4 linked regions of the Alligator mississippiensis genome follow. The protein of the gene in region 1 interacts with the protein of each later gene in a pairwise test. Links are inferred from orthologs where the notes say so. Each region holds a gene or a part of one and is shown in the gene's direction. Other genes may lie near its edges. The genes, in order: PLSCR1, ESR2, CRY1 and SLC35A2.

What was found.
Region 2: the proteins of PLSCR1 (region 1) and ESR2 interact in binary tests that used the Homo sapiens proteins (3 or more experiments, as listed by UniProt). The link is inferred for Alligator mississippiensis from reciprocal best matches to the Homo sapiens genes PLSCR1 and ESR2.
Region 3: the proteins of PLSCR1 (region 1) and CRY1 interact in a two-hybrid assay, tested with the Homo sapiens proteins (2 studies listed by BioGRID and IntAct). The link is inferred for Alligator mississippiensis from reciprocal best matches to the Homo sapiens genes PLSCR1 and CRY1.
Region 4: the proteins of PLSCR1 (region 1) and SLC35A2 interact in a two-hybrid assay, tested with the Homo sapiens proteins (2 studies listed by BioGRID and IntAct). The two-hybrid records come from large-scale screens. The link is inferred for Alligator mississippiensis from reciprocal best matches to the Homo sapiens genes PLSCR1 and SLC35A2.

What each region holds. Positions count from the first base shown.
Region 1 is NC_081830.1:59,169,713-59,177,162, reverse strand, and holds the start of PLSCR1 (phospholipid scramblase 1), read left to right. Parts: upstream 1-4,431; 5' UTR 4,432-4,669; intron 4,670-4,830; exon of another isoform or gene 4,831-4,951; intron 4,952-7,450. UniProt on the Homo sapiens protein: Catalyzes calcium-induced ATP-independent rapid bidirectional and non-specific movement of phospholipids (lipid scrambling or lipid flip-flop) between the inner and outer leaflet of the plasma membrane resulting in collapse of the phospholipid asymmetry which leads to phosphatidylserine externalization on the cell surface.
Region 2 is NC_081825.1:291,561,988-291,569,237, forward strand, and holds the start of ESR2 (estrogen receptor beta), read left to right. Parts: upstream 1-4,228; 5' UTR 4,229-4,451; intron 4,452-7,250.
Region 3 is NC_081827.1:104,109,570-104,116,450, reverse strand, and holds the start of CRY1 (cryptochrome-1), read left to right. Parts: upstream 1-3,873; 5' UTR 3,874-4,117; coding exon 4,118-4,275; intron 4,276-6,881.
Region 4 is NC_081831.1:28,440,838-28,447,672, reverse strand, and holds the start of SLC35A2 (UDP-galactose translocator), read left to right. Parts: upstream 1-3,824; 5' UTR 3,825-3,915; intron 3,916-4,027; 5' UTR 4,028-4,093; coding exon 4,094-4,169; intron 4,170-5,762; coding exon 5,763-5,945; intron 5,946-6,835. Other genes in the region: OTUD5 (OTU domain-containing protein 5), read left to right, coding at 658-771, 2,056-2,177. UniProt on the Homo sapiens protein: Transports uridine diphosphate galactose (UDP-galactose) from the cytosol into the Golgi apparatus, functioning as an antiporter that exchanges UDP-galactose for UMP.

The sequences.
Region 1 (7,450 bases):
AAAGACAAAATTACTCTGAAGCCCTGTCCACTGGGTCATGAGGTTTCAGTTGGGCCCCCTTGCTTTTAAAACTGCCGTTAGGCAGAATTGGGGCTGCTGAACCCAACCGTAGTTTTAGACCTGGTCAGTGGCTTATATTTTTAAATACACACACACACGCATTCATTTAGTCAGCCAGACCTCCTCCCCCACACCGCCTTAGTTAATTAACTACAAGCCCAATGTGCTGTTGGATGAAGGTGCTTCAAAGTTTTTCCCTGAATAAAACATACGTTACCAGACAGAAAATTGGATTCTTTACCAGACAGAAAATTTTAGCCGGCAGTAAGGTTTAGACTGACCTGTTTTTAACAAGGTTTAGATCTAGTTACCACGGCTAAGTTGGGAGCCTACAGGCAGTTCTCCTCTGAAACCCCAAAAGAGATTTTGAATTAGGTCTCTTACCTCTTAAGTTTGGCGCCTCAGGGTTTGGAGGGGGGCAGTCCGTGGTCCTCCTTCTTCAGCACGTGTTCTGGATCCGAGTCACGGCACCAGGAATTGTTGTGAAAACACACGCAGAATACTTTTGAATCAGGTTAACAAAAGCTTTTATTTAAAAAAAAACTACAGCTGTAGAGGGGATTCCAAAGTGACATAGATTTCCCAAGCACTTAGAAGAAGTCCGCCCCCCAAAAGCAAAATCAGGAGGCTTATAAAAAAAAAAAAAGCAGCTATAAACATTACTTCATTGCTGTAATCAAGATAGGAACTTATGGGGGAGGCGAGGTTAGTTCACAAACCTCCTTCTTGCACCTGGAAATCAGAGTTGTACATACTTTTTGCTATCTTCAAGGCTGTGGTGAGTGAAGCAGTTGCAGAGGAGTTACAAAGAACAAACACTTTCCCTTATCTGTTCTACTGTACAGAGCCAGCAATTCTCTACAAAGCAGTTATGTCATCTTATAACTCAAATAATCAAAGTTTAAGGCATTTATTTTTTTTTCTGATTCCACACTAATTATGCTTGTCCTTCTTGTTCTCTACATAACAATGAAGTTATAGTCCTCTAAATTTTTTACATTAAGTATATCCTGTACAATATGATTTGTAGTTTTTGTAAACATGAACATGCTTATTTCACAGTAAACCTCCCTAATCCCAAGTAAATTTTGCTATCTGCAAATACAAGTAGCAAATTTACTCACGATTAGTAATGGCGCAAATAGTGCTCATGTAGGTGCCTGACTGGGAACAAAATCTACTCCCGGTCACCCATCCACCAGGAGGTAGAAAATAATTCCCTGCCCCTAGGAGCTGCCTGCTGCAGGGGTAGACTCTGCCACAGGAGCCTGGGCGGGGACTATGTCCCCCCTGCTCTGGCAGCAGGGAACTCCAAACCCCCTGCTCAGATATCTCCGATAGGGAACCAAGGACTGGGAGATCCTTATCTCCCAGCCTGAGCTCTGTGGTGGAGGGCCTTGAGTTGGGAGACACTTATCTCCCAGCGCTGGCTCCATGGTCCAAGCCCCTAGACCTAGGAGCTCAGCCTGGGTGATAAGGATCTCCCAGGATGAGTCCCACAGTCGCAGAGCTGGCACTGGGACCTCCCTCCTGGTGGGAGCTGGGAAACCTGTTCCCTGCCCAGCTCCCCTCCCCAGGCTCCTCTGTCTACATCTTGCCACTTGTCTCACCAGTAAAGATCCTGGTGTTCCCCATTTAAAAATTCCAAATTCTCTGATGAACCCAAATTTTCTCATTAAAATACCCCAAATCTCTGTTATTTTGTGATTTAAAATGAAACAGCACTATATGTAGAGTTGGGCAATGCTTTACTGATATATTTACAATTTTAAAGCAATTTGGAAGCCTAGCAGTGCCTCTATCGTCATAATAAACAAGTTCTAAATATCCTATACACTTTAGCATTTCCTTTCTTTTTTTCATCATAGAAAAATCAGAGCCGCCCCTTTCCACTTTGGTCACCAGGATGTGGGGTGCTGAGAAGCACTGATATCCCAGTGTCCTGCCTGCCCCCACTAGCTCCCTCCCAGCACCAGGACATGCGTCCAGCTGCAGTTGTTCCATCCACTGCTTTGTGGCTGTGAGCAGTACCAGCCCTTGCTGCTCTGCTCCCTGTCTGTGCCCAGGCCCCAGCGCTTCCCCATGCCTTTCCTGGGAAGCCCTTGACTAGGGCTCAGGGACTGGGCTGAGCAAGCTCCTTTCCTTTCAGGCTGGCCTCCCCCTGTACAGGCTGCTCTAGGCAAAAAGCGGGGCTCTAAGCCCAGCTCTAGCTACCTCTCTGACCCAAAGCCCTCCCCTACCCCCAACCCTCTCTCTCATCCCTGCTACCTCTACGCCTCCTCCTAGCCCATCACATCCTGCAAGCGGTTCCTCGTATCAGGCCAGGCCGGCTCCATGAAGGCAGGGAGCCTGGTGTGCAGTATCGAGACTCTAGTGACAGAAAGAGCTGCCCAGTCCTGCCCAAAGGTGCATGCCCCCGGGTCAAGCCAAGGCAGGCCTGTGCTATGTGGCACAGGTGGTGCTCGGTCTCAGGCAGACAGGGCTGCAAGACGCTGCAGGGGGGCTCTGCCAGCAGGTGGCAAAAGGAAGAAAATCAAGGTGATTTTTGTAAAGACTATGGAAAAACTTGAAATGTACAATATCCTTGAAAAAATGTTTCCTTTGATACTTACAGTAAAGAATAATATGAACTGGTTGATGCATAGTAGACTGACTTAATTCTCAAATACATACATTTGGATTGCTGTGACTTTTTCATGAAAAGCCCCTATTGTGTATGTAATACAATGAGCTGGTGAGAGACTGACTGATACAGGATACATGATTTAATCTTAATTAGATCTGTACATGCTGGTAGAATCAGTGAAATACAAATTGGGTGCTCAGTAGATCTGGTGCTCAGTAGAAATCCAAGAGGCATCGTTTCACAAGGAAAAGACTTGAGAAAATAGAAATAGCAAAGAAAGTAGAAAGAAAAGTCTTCCTGAAAGTTCTATTCATATGTGGTAGAAGTAGTTGAGAACATGAACCAATAACAAATATGTCCTTTTAATAGAATACAGGACTACAGAGCAGTGTTCATTAATGGAAAATTATAAATTATTCCCTGAGGAAAAAGCACATTTCATGGTTAGAACATAACATATCAGTACAGGTAAAACTTTGCAAATACTGCATACCCACTGCCTTTACTGGACTGCAAACTGACGTGATTAGCTAATGTTATTACTGTAATGCAAAGAATGGAAAATTGATGGAAAATTTCCATCAATGATAGAAAATTCTCTGATTTTGAAAGCCTAAAATGTCTAGCGGCTTACCATGTTAAATTAGACAAATCAGTACCTTGGAATTCCAAAGTAAAGTCAAAACTGAAAATAAAAAAGTTGGGAGTTACTGAAAATGTAAAATAAATAATAGGTTGCTTTTATACCATGATTGTAAAGGCATGAATGAGTTATAATCCATAAGCTTTAAACACAGTGATAAAATGTAAATATGCACAGAAATCTGTTGAAATGGTACCTGCGTTCTTTGGGGGAAAAGGTGGGGAGCATGTTTTCTGTATTAAATAGTAATGAAAGATCACTGATTCAGTTTCTACTGATTCAGTGAAAATATATGCAGATTACACTTTTAAACCAATTTAACTAGTTAGTAGCTTAAAAACAAAACTACTAGGTTTAGTGCAACTGATCAGGTGGCAATTCCTATTAATTCACAGCCCCCCCCAGGATGCTTTGCACCTTCCCTGCAAGCCCACTAGCCTTGGCCCAAGCGGTGTGCTCCAGCAGAGCAGGAAGGCATGCTCTGCCCCTCCCTCTACCTGCTGTTTCTGGTCTGAACCATGCAGGGCTGCAGTTGCACTTCAGGAATCAAAAGCTGGTGTCTGTTCACTTTTTTTATTGGCTCAACCTATGCAGCTTTAGATTAACCTGTGAAGACTGCATCAATTTAGCCTTGGTCTTTTTGACTTTCTCTATGGAGGCCAGGGATCTTTAAATTCATAGAGGGTTAGGCATGTTTTGCAGGACCAGGTAACATCAACCTGAATTCAAGGCAAACAGAGAGAAATCCCTGCAATATAATTTCCTTGTCATTTTTTCATGGAACCTCACTTTTTGTTTGTTTGTTTGTTTGTTTAATTCCAGCTTTAATGGATGCTGGACAAAACCGCAGTGAAGATGCTTGATACCGATTCCCTGCAGCACTTACTTCGCTGCCTCCATCACACACGCAGGGGAGCTTTGGGGAGTTCTCTGGGAGTGAAAAGGAGGTGGCAGCGATCCCTGCAGACGGACTGTGCTGAAGGCGCTGCCTAGCAAGCCGGCGAAAGGCCGCGCGCGGTTGCGGGGCGCAGGAGCAGCGAGACGCTGCCCGTCGCCGCACGGGCTGCAAGCAGCGGCGCCCGCCCAGGACGACGGGCCCCGGTGCTGGGAGCAAGGCGGCCCCGACGGGGCACCCGCACGGACCCGCCTGCAGGCCAGGCGCCGCCCTGCTCCCTCGGCGGCCGCGGGGGCCCGGGCCAGCGCCTCTCCGCGCCCCGCCCAGCCTCCTCCCCTGCCCTCGCCCTCCGGGCTTCTTCCCTCCCCGAGGCGGCCGCGGCTCCTGCCCCATCCCAGGCAGCGCGAGGGAGCGGTGCGGCGAGGCGAGGCGAGGCGAGGCGAAGGCAAGGGGGTGCGCGGGGCGGGAAGCGCGGCCCCGGGGCTGGCGGGGCGGTGCGGGTCCGGGGCGAGGGCAGGCGTCCGCCCAGCCCCTGCTCGCGGCCCCTTGAGGCAAAGCGAAAGCCGCACCTGCAGCCTTTCCAAACAGGCTGTCCGCCCCCTTTCCGGCAGGGAGCGGCGCCGTTACTTCCTCGTTGCTGAAGTGCGGGCAGCCCGGCCCCGGCCCCGGCCCGAGCTGGTCCCCGGCCGCTCTGCCTGAGGGGCTCCCCGCACAGCCCGCCGCGCAGGTGCGTCCGGGCGGGGCGGGGCGGTGTCTGCCGCGGGGGTGCGTGCTAGGCCCGAGGGCGCGTCTTAGCAACAGTTCTGGCTATTTAATAAGGACTGGGAGGCAGAGCCTGAGGCGCTGTCTGTCATCTCTCTCCTGTTATCGTATCAACAAGCTTGTGGCCCGACTTGGCCAGTGGCAGAAAACTGGATGCTAATGGTTGTCTTTACTGGACAGCGTGACTCAAACACCAAATCTAAACTCTTCTCCCCTCTGGCTGACCAGGACCCTTTGATCTGTATTACGGGAAGGAAGAGGGGTCACATTTTAGGTTACTGGTGTCTCATCCCTCTGGCATCCATGTTAAAATATTTAATCTGCTATTTTTCCTGGCCTATTGCTGAAATGCAGACAGTAGCTATAACTGATTTAAGTTAACTTGACTATAGGCAGTGCTGTAGCGTGAAGGGGCGCCAACAGGCACTACCCGGCAGAGGCACAGGATGGAGCCACAAGCAGCTAGTTCGGCAGGGCACAGGGGAGGGCGGCTCCCATAGCTGCAGGGGCTCCTGGGCAAGCATGGGGGGCATGTGCCCCCCAGATCGGTGCATGGGGTGTGGGCAGGCTGCTGCTGCGGGCTTTGCCCCGGGTGCCAAACTTCCTTGCCATGAGACTGACTACAGAGAAGCTTGGTAGCCATGTATAATGAATCCACCTGTTCCTTATTAGGTTCATATGCCCCTGGATAAAGTGGTAGGATGAAATACAACTAGAGGGTGGTGAAGCACTGGAACCGGCTGCTTAGAGAAGAGGTAGAATCTCTGTCCTTGGAGGTTTTTAAGACCTGGGTAGAGAAAGCCTTGGCCTAGATGATCTAGTTGGGGGTGGTCCTGCTTTGAGCAAGGGGTTGGGCTAGATGACTTCCTGATGTCCCTTCTAACCCTGGCTTTCGATGATTTTGTGTGCGTCGCATAGACAAAAGCAGGATTCCTTGATATGCAGACTTGATAAAGCCCCATAAGCACATAGCTGTTGTTGCTGGCTGTGGATATAAAGGAGAGGTGATCTCTGTAAGTACCATAGGCTGGCCTTCTTGGTAGGATTTGAATATTATGATAGAAACCTTAATTTGGACTATGATCTTGTATCATCATTGTTATTTTCAAGGTAAGGGTGCTTTGTTCCCAGTTTGATTTGCAGGAAGTGAGCCTGAAGGTCACAAACGCATTAAAAACCATGGTCAGATCTCTGATAAAATGGGAGAGTCCTCCAGCCAACCTTATTTGGAAGTTCGCATTTTGCCCAATTTTGGTTTTTTTGGATATGCAAAGGAAACAAGATGTTCAAAAGGACTTTGAAGCTGTGTACCAACAGTATGTTCAGCAGGCAGGGACCATTCATCAAGTAGTACCCAAATTCCTCAGATTACTTCTTCACCAGTATCACTTCCTCATTTTGCCTGGATTCAGTTTCATCCCAGTTTGTATGACTTTTGGTTTTGGATATCATTTTTGGATGAGAGTTGCGAAAAAAAGCCCCTAACTGTTACATTTTCTCAGATAGCATTTACCTTTTCAAGGTGAAACGGTCATGCTTCCTCTATTGTGAAACTAGAGTGATAAAAGTATGACTATATTACTGAAGGGAGTGAGAATGTAGTTAACTGCAAATTCTGCTGGGATTAGATGAAATTGCAATATTTGCTATTTTTCTTTCATCTCATTATTCATTAGGTGCTTGCTGTCATCAAGTCTAGTGGGAATCTCATGGCACAGCACTCAGCTGAGCCTGAATCTCTGTCTTGCACATTGCATAGTTGCATCTGTGCAAAGCGAGCATATTTAAAAAGATAACTGAGTGGTAGCGCTTCTACACTCAGTTTATACTTGGGTAGTGGGCTGCAAACAGCTCAGTGGCTCAAGCCCTGTGACTCCAGCTTCCCCAGTAGCACTTCTTGCTATGTCTATCTGGGAACTGCATTTTGAGCAAGAGAGAGCACAGTAAGGAGTGGTGGCAACACAGAGAGGCTACAAGCCTCTTCCTTCCTTGGTAGTGTCCTGTGAATAAATGGGTTTAGTGACTCAGTGCTTGGTGCACACCTTTTCTCTTTAACTTAACCCCTACCCTGCTCCACTTAAATTGGGAGTTAAGTGGCAGTATTCTCCCAACACAGCAGGATTATCTGATGCTGTTTTTATTAGGAACCTGGCACCTGGACATTACACCTGCAAAACAAAAAATAGGGCAAGTTTACATCAGTGTCCAGAGTGGACAGATGACAAGCTTTTTTGGAGTAGCTGCTGCTGTAGGCATTATTGCATTGCCATGGGGTGTAAAGGGAGCTGTTAGTAGTTTTGCACTGAATGCATCTTCCCCCGGATAGAAATGGACATGATACTTCAATTGGTGGAGTTTTACTTCAGTTTTTCCCCTTCCTACTCCACCTGGAACCTCTATGCTGGGTTCTTCTAAACTCCACTGGACAAGTGTTATATGGGCATGGTTTAACACTGCTCCTTCC
Region 2 (7,250 bases), on another chromosome or scaffold:
CCAGAAGCCGAGTGCATGCAGGAGGGTGCACTGGTGTTTAGCCTCTGAGTGGGGGGCGGGTCTGTGAGCAGAGGCTTCTGCATCCCTCCGGTGGCTGGGCTGTGTCAGCTGGCTGGCGTGGAGGAGCAGGGACTGAAGGTGAACCTAGCCCGGGGGGTAAACAGCCCCCGTGCTCAAGCAGTGCCGCTGAGTGGCTCCTTCCAGGTTCCCTCTAGTACAGTGGTTCCCAAACGTTTTCTTAGGGTTACTATATTTTCAGATCTAAAAAAGAGGACACCTGTTGCATGGTGGGGGTGGGGGGAGGCAGGCAGGGATACAGCAGTGCCCTGCCTCTGCCTATTTTGTTGCCCTTTGCTTCCAAGCCACCCTCCCCCAGTCCTGTGCTGTCCCTCACTCCTGACCCACATACCCCAGCTCTGCCAGTGCCCCTCACTCCCAAACCACACGGTACTCTGCCCGCTGGTTCCCCTCACTCCTGACCCACAGTCCCCTGCTCCCCCCCAGCCCTGCCAGAGGGGCCCCAGCTGCCCCTGTCCTGACCAGGCCAGAGCGTGGTGGCTCAGAGCAAATCCAGCCCCAGTGCAGGCTGTACGGCAGAGAAAGGGAGTCCTGTGACAGCCTCCACCCCGGGCTGGGGCTGCCACGCTGAGCCAGGAGGCCCAGCGACAGCATACAGCCCACCTCCCGCTCCCCTTCCCCCCACAGCGTCTTCAGGCCGTTTTGCCCCTGCAAACATAGGCACCAGCACCTGTGCTGCCAGCCTGGCTATGGCCCTCAAAAGGCACCCCCCCATCCCCTTCCCCCTCTGCTGGAGGCAGGCAAACCCCCCCCCGACCCTCCTACCCTGCCCCAGCCCCCAACCCAGACTTATTTGTCTGCAGCTCCCTGCCTAAAGTCATCCCTCCCCTTGCTCCCACCAGCGGACCAAAGCAAAAACCCAGACATTTGCTCAGATTTGAAAAACCTGCCTGGACAGAGATGGGAGGACTCAAAAAGAGGACATGTCTGGGAAAACTCAGACATAGTAATCCTATTTTTCTTATCGCATACCCCCTCCCAGATTTACCAGCTGCCCACATATCCTTACCAGAATACTTTAACCCCTTAAATGCCAATTATTATTATAATAAAAATTAAACTCACCATTACACAATTTCTCCTGCGTGCCCCCCAGAGATGATTTGTGTACCCTCAGGGGTACCCATACCACAGTTTGGGAACCCCTGCTCTAGTATAAACCTACCCAATGCCCTGGCCAAGCAGCTTGAAAAATGTTCTCCTGGCCTCCTTGAGGAATTTAAATGCGAGTTGCCCCAGTCAGCCATATCCACGCTGTGGCCTCCTGTTCCCACACCCAGGCTGTGCCCTCCTGATCCCGTACCCATGCTGTGGCCTCCTGATCCCACACCCAGGCCGTGCCCTTCTGATCCTGTACCCATGCTATGGCCTCCTGATCCCGTACCCACGCTGTGGCCTCCTGATCCCGTACCCACGCTGTGGCCTCCTGATCCCGTACCCAGGCTGTGCCCTCCTGATCCCAAAGGCTCTGCTACTTCCAAGTCCGGAGGAAATGCACCAAGAGTGGGGATGCTGTGTCTCAACATGGGACTGCTTGACAATATGAAGCTCTGTGGTGTGAAAGCAAATCGGTGCCCTTTCTTCTCCTGTTCCCCTGAGGTTGGGAACGTGGTAAGTAGAGCCTGACTTCCAAAAGTGACAGTCTGTGGCCAGTGAGCAAAAAGCCTCTCACAGGTAGTTGGAATTTGACTCTTCAGCTTCGCAGGTGCATTGGTTTGTGAGTGAGCCAAGGGCTTGTTCAGAGCGAATGAACAAGACCAGTGGCCCAGGCACCCAGCCCTTCCTGGATCAAGAAAGAAGTCTGCACTTGCAGGAGGAGAGATGGGTCCAGCCTGTGCAGACAACACTGGGTGGCAGCATGAGCCAGGCTGGGCGGTGGAGAGCTGCTGTTGCATTGGACACAGGCACCTGTCTCCTGCATGCTGTGGAGGAGTTGGGTGAGGGGAATCAATTCATACTGTTTACAGATGCACAGTCATGACTCATATCTTAGAGAGGCCAACCTGCCCTCGTCTACCTCCGAAAGCCGGCAGGGAATCCTTCTCAGAAATCCGGGGTGACGTGAGGCGCTCTCCCTCAGGAAGCTGGGGTAGCAGTAGTTCTTAACTTCTTATTCATTTTCTCTGGCAAACCCACTGCTGGTTTGAGCCTAACATATTTAACTCATTTTCCTTCTTTTTTTTGTGGGGCTTGTGATCCCACTTCATTGCTGCAAACATGCAGTTTGGGGTAGGGTCTTGCAGGTGTCTTTTAACAGTGAGGAGTAGTGTCGACACTCCCCAAAGCAGGAGGAGGTGCGGTGCTTCGACCCCCTAACAGGCCTGAAATACATTTTGGAGAATCTGAAAGATTGGTACAGGAAAAACACATTTGGAGCATTAACCGAGTGGTGATACAAGTCCCTTGGTTTGGCCCTTTCCACTCCTGCAGTTAAATCATTGTCAACAGGTGCATTCATCATCAGTGCTGACAACAGATGTCGAGACTACTTGGCATATTTTTCCAATTTTACCAGCAGGCTTTAATGGTATGGAGAGAAAACTTGGTCTAAAACATAGAACTAAGTAATATGCTTTGAATGTACAGACATATCAGTTAGGCTCCAATGCTGATCTTGACTGAGCCAGGACACACAAACATGCAATGGGACAGGAATTGGAAAATTGAATTTGGAGAATCTGCAACTTACTGCACAATACTCTGCAGAAGCAATTTGGTTTTCGTGCCCACTCTTTAGGTTTTCCAGTACTGTCACTTTAATATATAGCATAAGCAAAAAAACCCCCAAACCTGTGCTTAATCTAAAAAGTCTTTTAGCTTCTAGTGTGTCATGGTCCCAAATCCACCTGAAGTCTATGCAGGGTTCAACTAAAAAACAAAAACCCTGAGGTACTAATAAGTTGCCATCGCCATGTGAAACCTGGGGAGGAAGGACAGGGATTTGGCAGGTCAGAGTAATCTCTGCAGGAAAGGGCTTATAAAACTTCTTGAACCTTTCCCGTACCCCCACATCCCCAACAAACAGCATCCTAAAGGCAATGCTTCTTCCACAGATTGCATTTCCCTGTGCCATCATGGGCTAATGGAGTTTAGTTCCACTCTTAATTAAAGGACATGTGAGCTGTGATGGACTTTTCTAGTTGGATTGCTTTACTTTTTGTAGTAAAGTGAATAGAATTAGTGATGATGAGCAAAGACCAAAGCAGCTTTGTGATGGCCTGAGCATCATTTATTCCAAGGTTCAGATTTGTAAAGGTATTTAGGTTCCTGAAAATGCAGATAGGTGGCTTGTAGGATTTTTGAAATCTTTTCAGTAAGCTGTGTGGACACTTATTGTTTTGGATGGGAGTTAGGCATGTAACTTGTTCAGGAATCTGAAAAATTCCACTTGGTACCTATAGACTACACGCTATCTGTAGGTGGCTAAGTACCTTTGAAACTTGTCCCCAAGGGCTGCTTTATATCACTTTGCTTAGAAGATTTTTTTACGGACAGAAGTGTGGTTGTAGTGCATAACTGAGATTTGCACTGTGATTAGTGTTTTTCAAAATGCTTTAAAAAATAAGAGCTAGTGAGTTCGTGGAGCAATTGAGTCACCTATTACACGGTGTCCAGTTAATTTCTTTCTCGATTTGAAAAGACATGCTGTTAAACATTGCTAATATGAATGCACGTTCAAGATTAGAGAATATTGCAGGATATGCTTTTAATGAAGCTTGTAAATAGATGACCACAAGTGTTTGAAGTGATTAAAAGTTCAAGTTCAAACCAGACTGGTTATATTGAGATTCTCCATTCACACTTTATGGGGGGAGAAAAGTTAATTTAGCTTTTAAAACCTCATCCACTGTTGCTGGTTAATTGATTATTTGAATGACTTTGGTCTGACTGAGTGTTAAACGTGTTACGTGCAAAATAGTAATGGGAATCATTGTGGTACGCTGCAAGAGTGAAATAAACCCAGGGAATATCTTTAGCTAGAAAAAGCCAACATTGTGTACAGGCGCCCTATGACAATACTTGGCTTATAAAACTACTTCAGTTCTGTAGGAGCTCTAATTGCAGGGAACAACAAGCTTATGAATTTGTTGTCAGAAGGAAAGGGGAGGAACTTAGATTTAGGTCTTGCCTCCACTGGGAAAGGAAACATTGAGAGTGTCTGTGTAATCTTGTACTGATGAGCTGGCATTGCGCTGCTTTATCAAGATCAGTATTTCAGATCCTCTGCCCTGTGGTGTGAGTGATGGTGATTTTAGAATGGCTGCGAAACAGAAGAAAGGGAAACTAATCCAGAAATGATGGGTGAAATGCTAGCTGGCATTTAATGCTGTGAGATAAACCCGAAGAGCAGAAAACTATTCGATATCAATCAGGTATGTGGTGAATTGGGTTACATATATTTGTTAAATGTTGTAAAAACTGATAGCCACTAGGTATATCAACAGTAAAATACTTCTGTGCTGTGATCTCATTTAATTTATGGTTTAAGAGGCTTATCCTTTTACAAATTATGGTTTCTAAAGTATGATCAATGTGTGTTGGCTTGTGCAGATAAAAATAATCCCTAAACAGGTTTATCCCTCCAAAAATTCTTTGGTTTCTCGTACCATTTCCAGGACTCTGGACTATAGAATCTTGATTCTTTTTCTTAAGATGTTTTTAACAAAAGTTTATTAACATGGCACTGCTGGAGTGAAGCAGAGGTGAATATTTGCATGCAAATTCTAGGAAAACAAATGACTTGAGAGTTTCTTTACGATAACGCATTGTAAAAGCCATTTGCTAATGTGGAAGGGTCTGATCCAATGGATTAAACAGGAATCTTTGACATAAGTGGCTTTTGGATTGGACCCTTCCTGCACTGTGGTGCGTTGAAGCTCCAAAAGATGTTAGGAGCCTCCTTTTTCAATCTTTGTTCTTTCAGCTACTCTATTTGCCTAAGTGATTTCCCATTTCTGTTGTTCAGTGGCTAAGATTTCACTGCCAGGTGTCTGCTTCATTTTTTAAAATATAATTAAATGTCTTTGATATTGGAAAAAGCTTTCCCAAGTAGACAAGAGAGGGCAAGCCTTGTTTGTTAAGGGTCCTTTAAAAAATTCTAAGGTCCTGGTGTTATAACTGGAAATATAATGCTAAAATTAAGATAATACATTTATTCTGAATTAATATTAATATGCAACTGTATGAAGCCATCATTGGTAAGCAGAGATCTTCATAGAAATTAATTAGGTAATCTGCCTAAAAAAACAGTGGAATCATCTAATCTTATTATTAGACCCATTTAATAAGACTTAAAGTTTGGAAAAAATAAAATGCATATAGAATTGCAGTCGAGTCTGATACAGACATCGCTGTTTCATAAAACTAATAACATAAAACCCCTGAAAACAGCACATAAAGAATATAGCTGTTCATCTAAGTAAAAAAAGTTTTGGTAGGATTGACAGCACCCAGAGAAGCAATCTTTGTAATATTAAGCGATACAGCCTCAGAATCTGAATTGCTGGGTATAAGTAGCAATCTTATTTCTTTTCACACCCCTGAAATTATTTTTGCAACCACAGATATCTCTTGGAGGAAAAAGAATAATGTGGGAGGATAGTATCTTTTAACTGGTATCTTTTACATTTCCGATTCCCAGCACACAATGGTCAGTAACTACTTTTCAGGTTTTAACAAAAGTTCCTGTGAACTGTATCTAGTTAATGTTATTTATATACACTAACTTAGCAAAGATAGATGGTCTATTCAGTCTCTTTCCAATCATACACAAAATGTCTATGTAAGATTGAAACCGGATTTTCCCCGTTCTTTTCAGAGTAAGGAACAGAGCTAGCATTGGCATACTTAGCATAACAAAATTACATGCGCCCAGACAATAATAGATTCCTTCCTTATAGATTTTTTCCAAAGGGAAAGGAGGAGCAGGGGGGAGGGAATAGCAAAAAGGAAAGAGGAGAAGAGGTAGTGATAGCAGTAAAAAATGCTACCCAGTGTGGGATTTGAAGCTGATCTTGAAATTCAGAGAAGTTAGAGAAGATACGTTTAAAATATTATGCTTCTGTTAGATCCTTTGATTTCCCAATATTTTCATACTTTTAAAGCTGAAGTGAAGAAATAGTTGAAGTCTTCAACAGAATAACCCTAAGGCATTTCGGTTGTTTGGGTGGCAGGATTTCCAGATGCAAATATCAGCCCTTATAGGTGTATTTAGGTGACAATGAGTGGATGAAGTATAAAAATATGAAACTATTGGAAAGCTATTTTTGCTTCAGGCTTCTTTAAGAGAAACAATATGCACACACACATGCAACAGCTTAAATTTTGGTTTCTTTGGTTAATGCAGTTTTTAATGCTGGTTCTTGAATGCCCTTCTCTTCCCCACTCAAACACATATGAGTAAAATGGACAGCTAAGAGAAAGGGATAATGATTTCAGAGGAAGAAGGTGATATGAAAACTCATTTTCCCACACTCATCTTCCTCCATACACTTTCATGCCTGTGAGCAGCTTGCTTCTGCTATCAGGAGGAAGTATCCAGAGAAGGGTGTGCCAATCTAGTCCCCAAGGAAAGAAAAATATCAGGGCCAAAAAAGAAGACAGTTCCCAGAATAACTCATTGACTCAATCTGTTGAGACAGTGGCTACGTCCAGACATGCAGGCATGTGTGGTTTGTAGCATTGCAAACCTCTTTGTGGCACCACAAACCACACGCCCAGACCATTAAGACGTGCCCTGCGCTGCAAATCTGCAGCATGGCGGCAAAATTTGCTACCACGTTTTCCTGGTAGCAAAAAAACCACTAAAGGAAAAAAAGCAACAAACAGAGGCTTGGTCCTCCAGGGAGACACTCTGGCTGTTGGCCAGAGCATCTCTGCTATTTTGTTTGTGCTCCAGCATGGCGGGAGCAGGGAAAGGCAGTTTGTCTGAAGCAGGACAATTGTCCCTCACCAAAGCACATGTGCAGGGGTGTGAGCTGTGGCACCAAGTAGCGGCACAAATGTGTGCTGCTGCTATTTGTACCCTTGGAAGCACATGCCCCTGCACATCTAGATGCGGCCAGTGAGTTTTAATATTATACCTTTTGGTTTTGTATTTTAGCAAACCAGAAGTAATATATAGGGAAGAAATGGGGAACTCCTAGTCCCATGAGTCAACAGCAAATGTCCTC
Region 3 (6,881 bases), on another chromosome or scaffold:
CAGCTGCCTCCGGGCTCTGGGGAGGCAGCAGATACCGGCGATGCTTCCCCGCTGTACTGTCCTCTTCGCTGCTTGTGCAGAGCAGCGTTGGAGCCCGGCGCGGCAGGGAACAGCGGGGGCTCAGGAAGCTGCCTGCCACTCCAGACTCCCCGTTGCCCTGGCCATGCTTTCCCTGCAGGCGGGGGCAGCAGCAAGGCTGCTCCTGTGCACGCAGGCGAAGTGTGCCCTGGGCAGCGTGGAGCTTGCAGCAGTAGGCAGCTTCCCTGCGCGGCCCCTCTCTGCGCTGCCACTCCGGGTCGCACACGCTGCGCTCCGGAGGGCCCAGGGGAGGGCAGCAGGGCTGGGAGCACAGCGTGAGCGACCCAGAGCGGCAGCGCACAGAGGGGCCGCGCAAAGAAGTTGCCTGCTGCTGCAAGCTCCGCGCTGCCCGGGTCACACTTCCCCTGTGTGTATGGGAACGGCGTGGACACCACGCAGGGTTGTGCCCCTTGCTGCTGCCCCCGCCTGCAGGGGAAGTGTGACCAGGGCAGTGGGGAGTTCAGAGCAGCAGGTAGCTGTGCACCCCGCTGTGTCCTGCCGCGCCGGGTTTCACATGCTGCTCTGCAGAAGCAGCGAGGAGGGCAGCACAGCGGGGAGCACCGCGGGTATCTGCTGCCTCCCCAGAGCCCGAGGCCGGGAGGCAGCTGGGGCCAGAGCTGAGAGGCAGTGGATGTTTGCAGCTGGCCCAGGTTCTGGGTAGCTGCTGCTAGCCACTGAGCCCGGGCTGTGGTGCAGGGGCTTTGGGTGGGGGGCAAGGGGCAGCAGGGCTGGGGGGCAGGGGGTTTAGGTGGGAGGCAAGGGGCATGAGCAAGGCATCCTGCCATATACCCCCTGCCCTTGTTTTGTTTTTCTGTCATGCTGGCACTCTAGCACCTTCCAAGGTAGGCATTGTTGGTTTTTTGGGCACTCCAACCAAAAAACATTGCCTACACCTGGTCTAAGGACACAGGCAGATTAGGTTCTTTGGGTAGGTGTGATATTTTAGATTTCATAGACATTTGGGCTGGAAGGGACTCCAGAGGATCATTGAATCCAGCCCCCTACCCCAGGGACAGGAAGTCAGCTATGGTCAAAGAATCCCAGGAAGATAAGCATCCGAATATGTCTTGAAGGCATTCAAAGTGGGTGCTTGAATTGTCTCTGGTGGCAGTCTATTCCAAACCTTGGGGACTCAGACAGTAAAGAAGTTCTTTATGTCCAGCCTGAATCGTTTGCGGCAGAGTTTGTGACCATTTCATCTTGTCATCCCTTGGCGCTCTGGTGAACAGACGTTTCCCCAGATCCTGATGAGCACCCATGATAAACTTACAGGTAGCCACCAGATTGCCCCTGAGCCTGTGCTTTTCCAGCCTGAAGAGCCCTGTGGCTCTCAGCCTCTCATCATAAGGTCTGTTCTCCTGACTTCTGGTTGTGCGCGTGGCTCTCCTCTGCACTCTCTCAAGCTTCTCCACATCCTGTTTGAATTGTGGAGCCCAAAACTAGACACAGTCCTCCTGCTGCGGCCTCACCAAGGCCAAGAACAAGGGGAGAACGATGTCCTGGGATTTGCTTGAGAAGCATCTATGGATGCAAGCCAGCATTTTGCTCACTTTACTAGCTGCAGCATCACACTGAAGGCTCATGTTCATCTTGTGGTCAATGATGACCCCCAAATCCATTTAATCTGTAACACTAACCAGCGTAGCACTGCCGAGCCTATAAGCATGCTGCAGGTTTTTCCTCCCCCGGGTGGAGAACCTTGCATTTTTTGGTGTTGAACACCATCAGGTTCTTGTCTGCCTTTTTCATGAGCCTGTCAAGATCTGCTTGGATCACCCTCCTGTCCTCAGGTGTGGATGCCTTACCCCAGAGTTTGGTGTCTTCAGCGAACTTGGCCAGTCCACTTCTGACACCAATGTCTACATTATTGATGAAGACGTTAAATAGTATAGGCCCTAGGACAGATCCTTGAGCCATCATGTTGCCGTCAGCCAGTCTGTTAAGGATGGCCTCTTTGATAATCTTTTCCAAGACCTTTCCCAGGGTAGAGGTCAGGCTGATGGGCCTATAGTTTGCCAGATCCACTTTCCTCCCTTTCTTAAAGATAGGCAGCACATTGGCCTTCTTCAAATCTTCAGGCACTTCACCAGAGTGCCAGGAGTTCTAGAAGATCCGTGCCAGGGGCTGGGCTATGACACTCGCCAGCTCCTTGAGTATCCTGGGGTGTAGATTGTCAGGGCCAGCTGATGTGAAGGTGTCCGGCCTCTCAAGGTGTTCCTTCATGAGGTCAGCATTGATGGAGGGCAACGAATCTCCCTCACCCGGGCTTCCCTGACTCACAGTGGGCAGGGGTGTCCCATGGGACTGGTGAAAAACTGACGCAAAGTACCCATTTAGCAAGTTTGCTTTTTCCTGGGCACTGGTTGTCAGTTGTCTGATCTGGTTCAACAGGGGTCCAATGTTCCCTTGCTTTTCCTCCAGCTCCCCACGTATCTAAAAAAGGACTTTTTATTGTCCTTGATACTTGTAGATAGCTGGAGTTTCATGCAGCCTTGGCTTTGCTGGTCTGCTCTCTGCAGGTCTGGACCAGAGCAGAGTATTCCTCCTTGGTGGTGGATCTAGTCCTTCATCCTTTGTAGACTATTTGGAAGAAAGTTCTTGACAAACTTTCGGGCACAAACCCCCTTTGCTGAGCACAGAGAGCAGAGTCTCCCAAATCTACAGAAGCCTGAAGAAGGGTGTCTGTGCCCAAAAGATGGCAAAGAACTCCCCTCCCCCTGCAACTATTGAGTCAGTCTAATGAAAGAGATCCCATCTACCTCCCCTATCAAACCTTCACATGCTTTCTTGCCAAGCAGCTCAACCATCTCACTAGAACCGAGGACAAAAGGGTGAGCTCACAACGTGGTATGCTTTTTCTTATTATTTTTAAAAGTGCGTCAGTAATTATCTACTTATGTCCCCTACACCCGCAGCAGAGTCCCAAAGGGGGCTGCCCCCCATTTATAGTTTCTCAGGGGCTCTGCAAACGAAAAAACGTTGACAACCACGGAGCCCAACTCGCTCCTGCCTCCCTGCGCCGGCTGTGGGAACACAGCAGCACCCGGCCCTAGCCCTCCCCCGTTATTCCCGGCTGTCCCGCCCTCCCCGTGAAGGGCACGGGAACTGGGTCAGCCGGCACCAGATGTACCGGGTCCGGATTAAAGGGGGCAGGGGCAGACGGGGAAGTCTAGCTCGCGGGTTACATCGCCACGCCCCCGCACACCTTTTCTCCCCCGCACATTGGGGGAGCGAGCACGCGGAGTCGCACGCGGCCGCAGGGCTGTGCTGAGAAAGGGGCGGGGCCTGCCGCGCAATTATGTAAGCGCTTGCGTGGGCCTCACCCGCCCCGCCACGTCCGCAGAAGAGGGGGAGACTGCGCATGCGTGCAAGCCCCCCCCCTTCGATACGCATGGCATTCGCTCCACCCCCTCAACCAACCACAAGTGCCGGCGCGCCGCGGCTCTGGCGCATGGGCACAAGCAGCAGCTCCGACGCCTCGAAGCCCCGTGCTCATCCGGGCTTCTGGTAGGGGGCGGGGCCAAGCCCGAAAGCCCCCCCCTCCCTGTTTCACTCCGTTCCCTCCTTTTTCCATCCAGGAAGCTTTGCCTCGGGGGCGGTCGAGGCACGGCCTCGCTACATTGCTCGCGTCTCAGTGGCTACCGGCCCTCGGCGCCACGCCGAGCTGCCCGCCCTCTTCTCCTGCCCTCCTCCTCTTTGCTTCTCCCCCCACACTCCGGGTAGTAAACACACTCGAGAAACGTGATGGCCGGGGGTCACGTGGGGCGGCGGCAGCCAATGGGGAAGCGGGGACGGGGCTTGGCCGCCGGCGCAGATCGGGCGCACGGGTACAGGGCGAGCGGCGCGAGCTGCAGGGTCCCGCGCACACCACCAGCCGCCGCCTGCGCGTGACCGGCCGTTGTGCTGCTGAAAGAGGGGGCGGGGCTCTGCGCGAGCGACCCCCGCGCGGGGGCTGTTGCGAGGAGATGCGGCCCCTGTCGCCTGCCGCTGCCGGCGTGAGGCGCGGCCCCGTCTGAGGGGATCCCTGCCCGGGCCTGCCATGGGGGTGAACGCGGTGCACTGGTTCCGCAAGGGGCTGCGGCTGCACGACAACCCGGCGCTGCGTGAGTGCATCCAGGGCGCCGACACCGTGCGCTGCGTTTACATCCTCGACCCCTGGTTCGCGGGGTCCTCCAACGTGGGCATCAACCGGTGGCGGTGAGTGCGGGCGGGGAGGGGGCACCCTGACCCATGGCTGCTCCTCGGGCCCCGCGCGACGCTTCCTTCCCGGCCTGCGGCTCCGGGGACCGGCGGTGACATCGCCCCACTGCGCGCGCATATGTGTGTGTGCGTGTACGTGTGTGTGTGTGTGTGTGTGAGTCACTGCAGGGCCCGCTGTGCCAAAAGCGGGGAGGGGGGGATGGCAGCCCCCGGGCCGTGACAGCAGCCCACAGCACAGGAGCCTGCCCGTCCCCTGCCTCGGCCGGCGGCTGCTGATCCACCCACGTGGGGGGGGGAGGGGAAATCCCGCCGGCCGCCCGCAGAAGCGGCTTGTGGGCGCTGAGATGTGCAGCAATCGCTGCTCGGGAGCGGGTCCGCGCCTGCCCGGGGTCTCCTCGGGGCCGGAGCCGCCATCGGCCTCCCGGCGGCGGGGGGGTCGCGCATGGGCCGGGGCCGGAGCCGGGGATGCCGCAAGTCTAAATGGGGATATCTTTGCACGGACTGAGCGCGTGGACGGGTCGGGTGCGATCCCTCAGCGGCCGGGTTTGGTATTGGCAGGGGGACTTTCAGCTCTGCACTTCCTGAGCCCAGCAAGGGGCAGAGCTCAGTCGGGTGGAGCAGAGACTGGCAGCCGGATCAAAGATCAAGTGAGGGAGAGAGGCAGTACAAAGCGTTACTTACATTTGTTCTGCCTCTGTGTCTTCAACAAAGTAAAATAAGATTGAGAGCCACCTCTGCACTTCCATAGCTGTCTCTAAAGGTTGGCTTGTTTTTTTTTTCCTGTTGCCCTCCTGAGGAGGGGAACTTGATGCATTGATGTTCATGCAGCTCTGTCCATGCATTGGCTCCAAGCATGGGGTTAGTTGAATACTAAAAAAAATGAGCTTCTGCAGGATTAGACATGTGGTAATAACGTTATTGCACTTCACAAAAGACAGAAGTGAAGTGCATAGAGGTGAAGGGACCTACCCAAAGTCAAATGTGTGACACAGTTGAAAGAACTTGAGGCTTCTGGATTTAGTGTCTTCAAGGATATCTTTCGCTAACAAGCTAACTTTTAAAAACATGTGGAAGTTGTAAACTTCTGCTCCCTCTGGTCATGTCTGTAGTCTTGATGGTAGAAAAATAAACCTTTCCCATGATCCTTCATTTTAATGGTTAATACACCACCAAACTAACAACTGTAAGACCTAAAGCCAGTTGTTTTTGGACACTTCCCTTAATCTAAGCAAGATCAGCTTCAGTCACTTTACAGGCATTTTTTGAGCAAGTGCTTTCTAATTGAATTACAAATCTTATGGCTTTATAAGTGATTCGGTTCTTTGAATGAAATACATGTGTTGCTGCCAGACTTTTAAAAGACAATGGTACCTTGCCTTGTAATCATCCTGTCTGTTGGCCACTGGGGCAGATTTAGAAGCAGAGGGCAAGTCAGGCTTCACAGTGCTGTACGTACCCTAAACTCTGAGGTAGTACAAACACTGTTAAGCCTTTGGATATACATAATACCCAGAAAAAGCAGATTGTGGCATACTTCTGCTTGGCAAGTTTTAGTCTCTAGGAAGTCAGCACACCAGAATCCAGTGACCCAGGACCAAGTGTTTAACTCAGTGGACTTGGCTAAAGAAAGTGTAGACTTTTTAATACTAATGCTAATGTCCTTTGGTTGTTTGACAAATGTTATAATAAATGATTCTCAAGTTGTAATATTTACATGTACCTACCAAAATTAACCTTGATGACGTAAAAAACGGGGGGGGGGGGGCAGTTTATGCGTGTACTGAAGAGATCTAAAAGGGAGAAGGTTGAAAAAGAAGCAACATTTCTTTTTATTTTAAGGAACCTTATCTACTCTACTAATCCTTCATCTTTCCAACAAACTTGTTCTATATACAGAGCAGCACCTTCTTTGAAACAGTTTGAACTTGAATGCTCATAATCCATGTGATATGCTTTGTAGTTCTGTACTATGGATTTTTTAAATTTAAGTTTCTTAAAGTAACAGCTATATCCTCCTATCAAGAGACTGCTTTTATTCGGAACAGACTTTAGTTTACCACAGTGAGTTTCATATATTTTATTTACTCAAATATAAGACAGTTTTTTCCCCCAATCAGCATGGGGAGAAAAGCCACTAGAGAAATCTCACTTACAAGGAAACTGCATTAAACACACCGTCTATCATTAAACTGCTGCTCACAGCAGCACATGCTCAGTAAACCAGATATAAAGTTGATTAAATGCAGCCAATGCTGAGCATGACTATAAAATACATGGCCTACTTTGGGTAAACACACTGATAGAATCTACTGCAAGGATAGGTTAGTGCAACTTCTCCAAATCAGATGTGTGGTAGTGCCCATTGGGTGCAGTCCCCCCCAGTGCCGACTCTTTCAACTCATGATAAGCTACTGCATTGTATACATGTCAACTTCTACTTGACTCCCACACTGAGTTGTGCCTTTCTTTTCTATTTCCAATGATTTCTGTTTCTTCACCTGCCTTAAGTGTCTGGTAGACATTCCCAAATGGTTCACCCAGAATCCCTGTTGCCTCCTCTCTCATCCTCTCGTACGTGATTAGTGTGGGCCCCCACTCCATCA
Region 4 (6,835 bases), on another chromosome or scaffold:
CTGGGGAGATGGGGACAGGGGTTATATGTTGTGAGGGAGGGGCTGTGGGTCCTGGCAGCAAGGTGATAGGTTGCTGGGGGTCTGAGAGTGAGGAGGGGGCAGGAGCTGTTGGCAGGTAGAACTGGGATAAGGGTCGAGCTCCAGGCTGCTGGGGAATGGGGCAGGGCTATAGGTCATAGAGGCTGGGCTATGGTTTGCTGGGGAGATGCGGGTGGCACTGGAGAATTGAGTGGTGTGGAGCTATGAGTCCTTGGGGGCAGAGCTATGATCTTCTGGAGCAATGAAGGCAAGGCTTATGGGAGCAGGTCTGTGCACTACTGGGAAGATGGGGTGGTGCTATGTCCTGCTGGGGGAATGCAGGTGGTCCTAGGACATAGGGTGGTGGCAGGGATATAGGTCCTGGAGGAATGAGAGGCAGAGCTATGGGGTGTGGGGGCTGGGGTGTGGGTTCTGGGGGAATGGGGGCAGGCTGTGAGCTGCTGGGGTAATGGGGTGGGGTGGGGCTATGAGCTGCTGGGGTGATGAATGTGAGGCAATAAGTCGGGGCGGGGATAGAGGCTACTGGGACTGTGGGAGTGTTTTAGCTCACTGGGGTAGCTCAGGGTTCCTGGGGGCAATGGGGACAGGGGCCTACTGCTCAGCTTCCCCCCCCCCCAGGTACCAGCAGTCAGCTGGCAGCTGCAGGGGGCCGCACTACCCCCCCGCTGGTATCCCTGTACCCTGCACTGGAGTGCCGTGCCATCATGCAGCAGATGTCCCCCACTGCCTTCGGTGAGTGACTCTAGGGGGGAGAAAGGAAGGGATTTGGAGCTGGGGGCAAGGCTTCAGAGCATCTAGGACTGATGGGGGTGGGAGAAAGGGCTCTGTTCCCTGCTGCAGAGCTGGGCACATCTCGGCTCTGCCAGATTGGGGTTATACTGGGCATTATTCCCCAGAATAGGCTGTATCTCAGCCTCACTGATGCCCTGTTAGATTCTGCTTTTCTCCAGCTGTTCCACCCCAGAGCTGGGCACATCTCGGCCTTCTCTGTGGAGCATTATATACTTGGCCATTCAAAGCTGTTTCACCCCAGAGCCAGCTGCATCTCAGCCTGTTGTGTTAGTTATACTCAGCTGTTCCTTCCCAAAGCTAGGTGCATCCCAGCCTTCCCCTGGGGAGGGGTCATACTCTGCTGTTTCAAGCTGCCTCTCCCTGAAGCTGGTTGCATCTCGGCCTTAGTTTTGCTGTGTTATATTCAGCTGGTCCCCAGCTGCCTTACCACAGAGCTGGCCACATCTCTGCCTTCCCTGTAGGGAGCTATAGTCAGCTGATCCAACTGCTCCTCCCCACAGCTGGGTGCATTTCACCTCTCATTTGCCTTGCTAAACTCAGCTGTTCTCCAGCCAGTCTACCCCAGAGCTGGGCACATTATTTCCCCCACCCCCACAGGAGAGCAGAGGGCTATATTGATCCATTCTCCAGCTACTCCTCCCCAGAACTGGGTGCATCTTGGCCTCTTGGCTGTTCTCCAATTGTTCCACCCCAGACCAGACTGAATCTCAGCATCTAAGTCTTGTTACATTCTCAGCCATCCCGTCCCAGGGCCAGCTGCATCTCTATCTTCTCTGTGGGGTGTTATACTTGGCCATTTCCTACCTGCTGCACCCCAGACCTGGCTGCAACATGGCCTTACCTGTAGGCTATTATACTTAGGTGTTTTCAGGCTCCCCACCCCAGACCTGGTCATATCCTGGCCTCTATTGTGCCTTGTTATACCCAGCCATTTCAAAATGTTTCACCCCAGACCTGGCTGCATCTTGGTCTTATTACACTCAGCTGTTCCCCAGCAGCCCTACCTCAGAGCTGGCTGTATCTGTGCCTTCCCTGTAACCTGTGATACTCAGCTATTCCCAGGCAGTCCTCCCCAAAGCTGGCCACATCTCAGCCTCAGTTTTTTCCCTTGTTCTACCTAACTCTTTTCCCAGCCACTCCACCCCAAAGCTGGCCATCTCTTAGCCTATCCTGGGAGCCATTCTACTCAGCTGTGTACCATCCCCCATCTTCTCCACCCTTCAGGCCTTCATGATTGGGAAGACGATGAGATCCTGGCATCAGTGCTGGCCGTGTCACAGCAGGAGTACCTGGAGACCATCAAGAAGAGCACCCTGCACAGAGACAGCCCTGCTGACAAGAGCTGATGCCCCTAGACTGCCCCCTCCCCCCTTCCACTGCCACCTGCACCCCTTCTTCTCCCCCTGCTCCCTTCCCTCTCCCCCAGAGACTGGAGCTGTCGCTGCATGTTGGGAAGAGAATTATCCTGGATAAAGAGAAACAAAGACCCCCCCCCACCCCCACCCCCCATGAGCGCCACAAAGGAAAGAGAAACCCACCGTGTCTGGCCTGGCCTCTGCTGTGTCATGGGTGGATGGGGGGAGGGGATCCCCCCTGTGAATTGGGGAGGGGATAAAGGGGGAAGATGCCCTACCCCATAGCTGGCTTCATCTGGGGCAAGGTTGTGTTGTGCTGGCCTCTTTCACTCTAGAGGTGGCTGTATTGTGCTGGGGGTGGGGAATATGGCCCCCTACAGTGCCTACCCCCTAGAGGCTGGAAGTGGGGCTGAGAGGGAAGGGCCTAAGTTCCATGTGGGAGCTGCCTCACAAGGCTTTATAAGGGCTGTGGCCTGGGGACCCTGTTAATCCTGTGGGTGCTGAGAGGGATTCCCCCATGACTAGTCACAAGGGGGGTGGCATTTCCGTCTATTGGTGCAGAGGGACCCAGGTGTTTTGGCTTCCAGCCTCACCTGCTCTGCCCCTGCCTCAGCCCCCAGTCTACCTGGAGAACCTAGGTGTCCGGTTCAGCCTTCCTCCCACCACAACTATCTGGGCTCAGAGCCCTCTCCCTACTCTAAGCTCCACCCTGACCCCTACTCCTTAGAGAACCTAGGTGTCTAGGCCCCCAGTGCTGCTATGTATTTTTCCAGGTACTACCTCCTGCTCCCCAATGCTGGTGACAGTCACAGTCCTCCAGCAGGGCTCCTCTAGCCAGCCCACCCACATACTCTGGTTCCACTGTACTACTGTAGCTGAATCATCTATCTGGTGGTAGTCACAATTCTCCAGGAGGGCTCCTCTCTAGGCAGCTCCTATTCACTTACGTTCCAAGGGTGGGCCACTTGAGCTGAGATGTCCTACTCTGTGGTGGCAGGTCACAAGAGGACTTCAAATTATCAGTTTTCAACTCTATGGTCACACCTTCAGTCCTCCCAGCAAGATGCCCCCTAGTTCACTCCTCTCAGGTGACAGGGTGGGGGTGGTCCTCTAACCCAGGCCTTGCTGCTATTCATGATAATGGATGTGGTCTCCCAGGAATCCCTATAATCCATCCACCCTACGGTGAGAGGCACAGTTCTGTGCCTACTCCCCTTTGCCCAGCCTGTTCTCTGCTCTATGGTCACAGCCAAGGTCCTACAAGCAGGACTGTACTCAGCCCTGCCCTCTACGGTGAAAACTATGATCCTCCATGCCAGGTTCTGTTCTAGCCAGCCCCAACTTTATGGTCACAGTTGCGGTTCTCCAAGCAGCATGACTCTCACCCTATGGTCACAGCTGCGGGGCTCCACTCTACTGTTCCCCATGCTCACAGGCGCTGCTCTACCTCAGTCACACCCCTACCAACCCGCCTGCCCACACGTACACGATATGGTCACAGCCGCGGTCCCCCACGCCAGACCCTGTTTCAGTCGCCGCCCCAACTCTATGATCATAGCCACGGTCCTCCAAGTCAGGTTCCACTCGACCCGTTCCCCCGCGAGGCTCCATTCTACTCTCTTCCACTCTAGTGTGAGCGCCAGTCATCCACACCAGGCTGCGCTCTAGACCCCCCAATTTTCTGGTCACAGCTGTGAGGCCCCACTCTACTCCTGTTCCAGACTCTAGGGTGAGAGCCCCAGTCCTCCACACCAGACTCCGCTCTAGCCCTCCGCCCGAAACTATGCCTCCTCTCTAGCCGGGGTCGCTGCTCCTTCTCGCTTGTCGCCTGTTTCCCGCAGGAAGCGGAAGCGCAGGATGCGGAAGTGGTGGCAACGCTGGCGCTTGGGGCCCGGGCAAGTGCCACCATGGCAGCGGCGACCGCGGCGGGGGCTGGAGCTGCGGCTGTCGCGGAAACTGGAAGGGACCCGGCGGCCGCGGGGGGTGAGCCGAGGGAACCGAAGGGCGGGGGCGTGGCAGGCCCGGCGGCGGGGCCGAAATGCACCCGCTCGCTCTGGGCGAGTTTGACGCCCCGGGGGGAAGGGTCGAGAATTGCTAGTTTGGAGGGGGAGCGGCCGAGTGTAACGTTTGGGGGTGCCTTGCCCCCGCATCTCGGTCCGCTCCCTGCCTCGTTATACTCGTCTGTTTCCCCAGCGCCTCTGCCCCAGACCTGGGCGCATCTCGGGCCTCTCCGAGTGGCATCGTGCTCTGCTGCTCTCCCCTGCCGCACCCCAGAGTTGGCTGCATTTTGTTTTAGGCATGCGGGTCCTACTCGGCTGCCTTCCTCAGAACTGGCTGCATCTCAGGCCTGCAGTTTAACCCTTGTCCCGTCCCAAAATCCGCCGCATACTGTTCTGCTTATCTGTCCCTTCACCCTCACTCCGAGCTGGCCGCATCCCAGCCCTCTCCCTGTCTTGTTGCACTTAGCCATTCCACCACAGAGCTGGGCACATCTTGCCCATATCCACACTTCTTCTGTCCCCTCCCCCAGCAGGTGCAACTGGGCCTGATCCCAGAGGTGGAATGTGGTTCATTGGTCCAACCACACCACCATTGGCAGCCCCCAGCCTGGAGGGGCGGGAGCAGGATGTTTGCTCAGCTGGGCAGCGCTGGAGCTGGAGCATTTGTGCATCCAGCAGGGGCATATCCTACTGGTGGCTGCAGCCAGAGCTGACTGCATCTGGGCCCTCACCAGGCGCTGTTATACTCAGCTGTTCCCCAGCCACCCCACCCCAGAGCTGGCTGCATCTGGGCCCCTTATACTCAGCTCTTCCTTAGGTGCTTAGAGCTGGGTGCATCTTGGCCCTCCCTGGGTACTATTATATTTGCCCGTTCGCCAGCTGTCCTACCCTGGAGCTGCGCATATTTCAACCTTCCCCTATGGAGTGTTATATATATTTGTCTGTTTCCTGGCCATCCCACCTTAGGGCTTGGCGTAGCCATTCCCCAGCTCTCCAACTCTAGAGCTAGGTGCATCTGTGTCCTTTTTACTGACCCTTCCTCGGCTGCTGTGCCTCAGAGCTGGGCACATCTCAGACCTCTCCAGATAGTGTTATATGTAGCTGATCCCCAGGCACCCCATCCCAGCTGCATGCTATCTTAGCCAGGCCATGTTATACTCAGCTGCTCAACTCAGAGCTGGGGGGTCCTTGTCATACTCTTACCCCCTACCTCATCCCCTTTCTCAAGGTGGAGGCAGCATTAGGCTGGCTTGGTGCTGGGGGGCTCCATGGAGGTCCCAATCCTACTCTAATCCCCCATCTCTGGTCTCAAGCCAGCCTGGCTATGGTGGGGGTAGTCCATGGGGGTGGTGCTCTGTGAGGGTCCCAATCCTGTTCTAACCCCCCTGTATCTCTCCCCACAGAGTACCAGCAGGTGCATCAGGCTAATCTGGTCATACTGGGGGGCTCTGTGGGGTTCAGATCCTGCTAGAGTGCCTCCTATCTCTCCCACCAGGCCAGCAGCAGATATGTTAAGTCAGCTGGGGGTCCCGATCCTGCTCTAACCCCACCCTCCCATCCCCGTCTTCCCTCCCAGGCCGGCGGCGAGTGCGTCAGGCCAGCCTGGCTGTGCTGGTTCTCCAGAATGCATCGCTGATCCTGAGCATCCGTTATGCACGGACACAGCCAGGGCCACGCTTCCTGCCCACCACCGCTGTAGTCCTAGCCGAGCTGCTCAAGGGTGGCACCTGCCTCCTACTGCTATTACTGCAGCACCGTGGTGAGATTCCTGTGGGGAATGGGGCTTAGCTGGGGGGGCAGAGCTATGGGTTGGAGGGTGTGGGGCCTGGCCTGGGAGGTGGGACTCAGGAAAGGGAGGGGGTGGGCTTTGGGCTAGAAGGGCAGGGCCCAGCCTGGGCAAGGGGTTTGAGGGGAGAAGACAGGGCCTGGGGTGGGGCTTGGGGAGGGAGGGGCAGGGCCTGGTCTTCTGGTCAGGCTTGGGGAAAGAAGGAGGGTGGGAGGGCTGGGCCTTGTTCCAGGGGGAAGAGTGGCTTAGCTGGGCCAGGTGGATAGGGTTCAGACAGGAGCAGTGGTAGGGTTACCATATTTCCGGTTTCAAAAAGGACACCTATGTGGGGAGCAGGGGGGGTGTATGATGGGGGGGCTGTGATATAGCTGTGCCCTACCCCTGTCCCTCACTCCCAAGTCACAGCCTCCCTAGCCCTACTGCTGCCTCTCACTCCTGACCCATAGTTCACTGCCCCCCAGACCATACTGATGTCCCGCACTCCCAACCTGCAGTCCCCTGCCCTGCCTCAGCCCTGTTGCCCATGCAGTGCCTTGCTGTCCCTGAAGAACGTCCCACCCCCTTCCCCGCCCTGCTGCAGCCACAGCAACAGCAGGGGCACACGTGTGCGCACATGCATACACACACAGACTTACCTGCCTGCAGTTGCTGGGGTTGCATGCAGAGCATGTGATGCCCCTGCCTCCAATCATCCTGTGCCCCCTTCCCCGAGCCCCAAGCAACTCCTTGCTGGGGCAATCCAGGAAGTACCAGGAAAGCAGAGGCAGAACAAAAATTCCAGACATTTGTTGATATTTTAAAAACCTGCTAGGATGGAAATGGGAGGACCCAAAAAGAGGATGTGTTCAGGGAAAACTCAGACA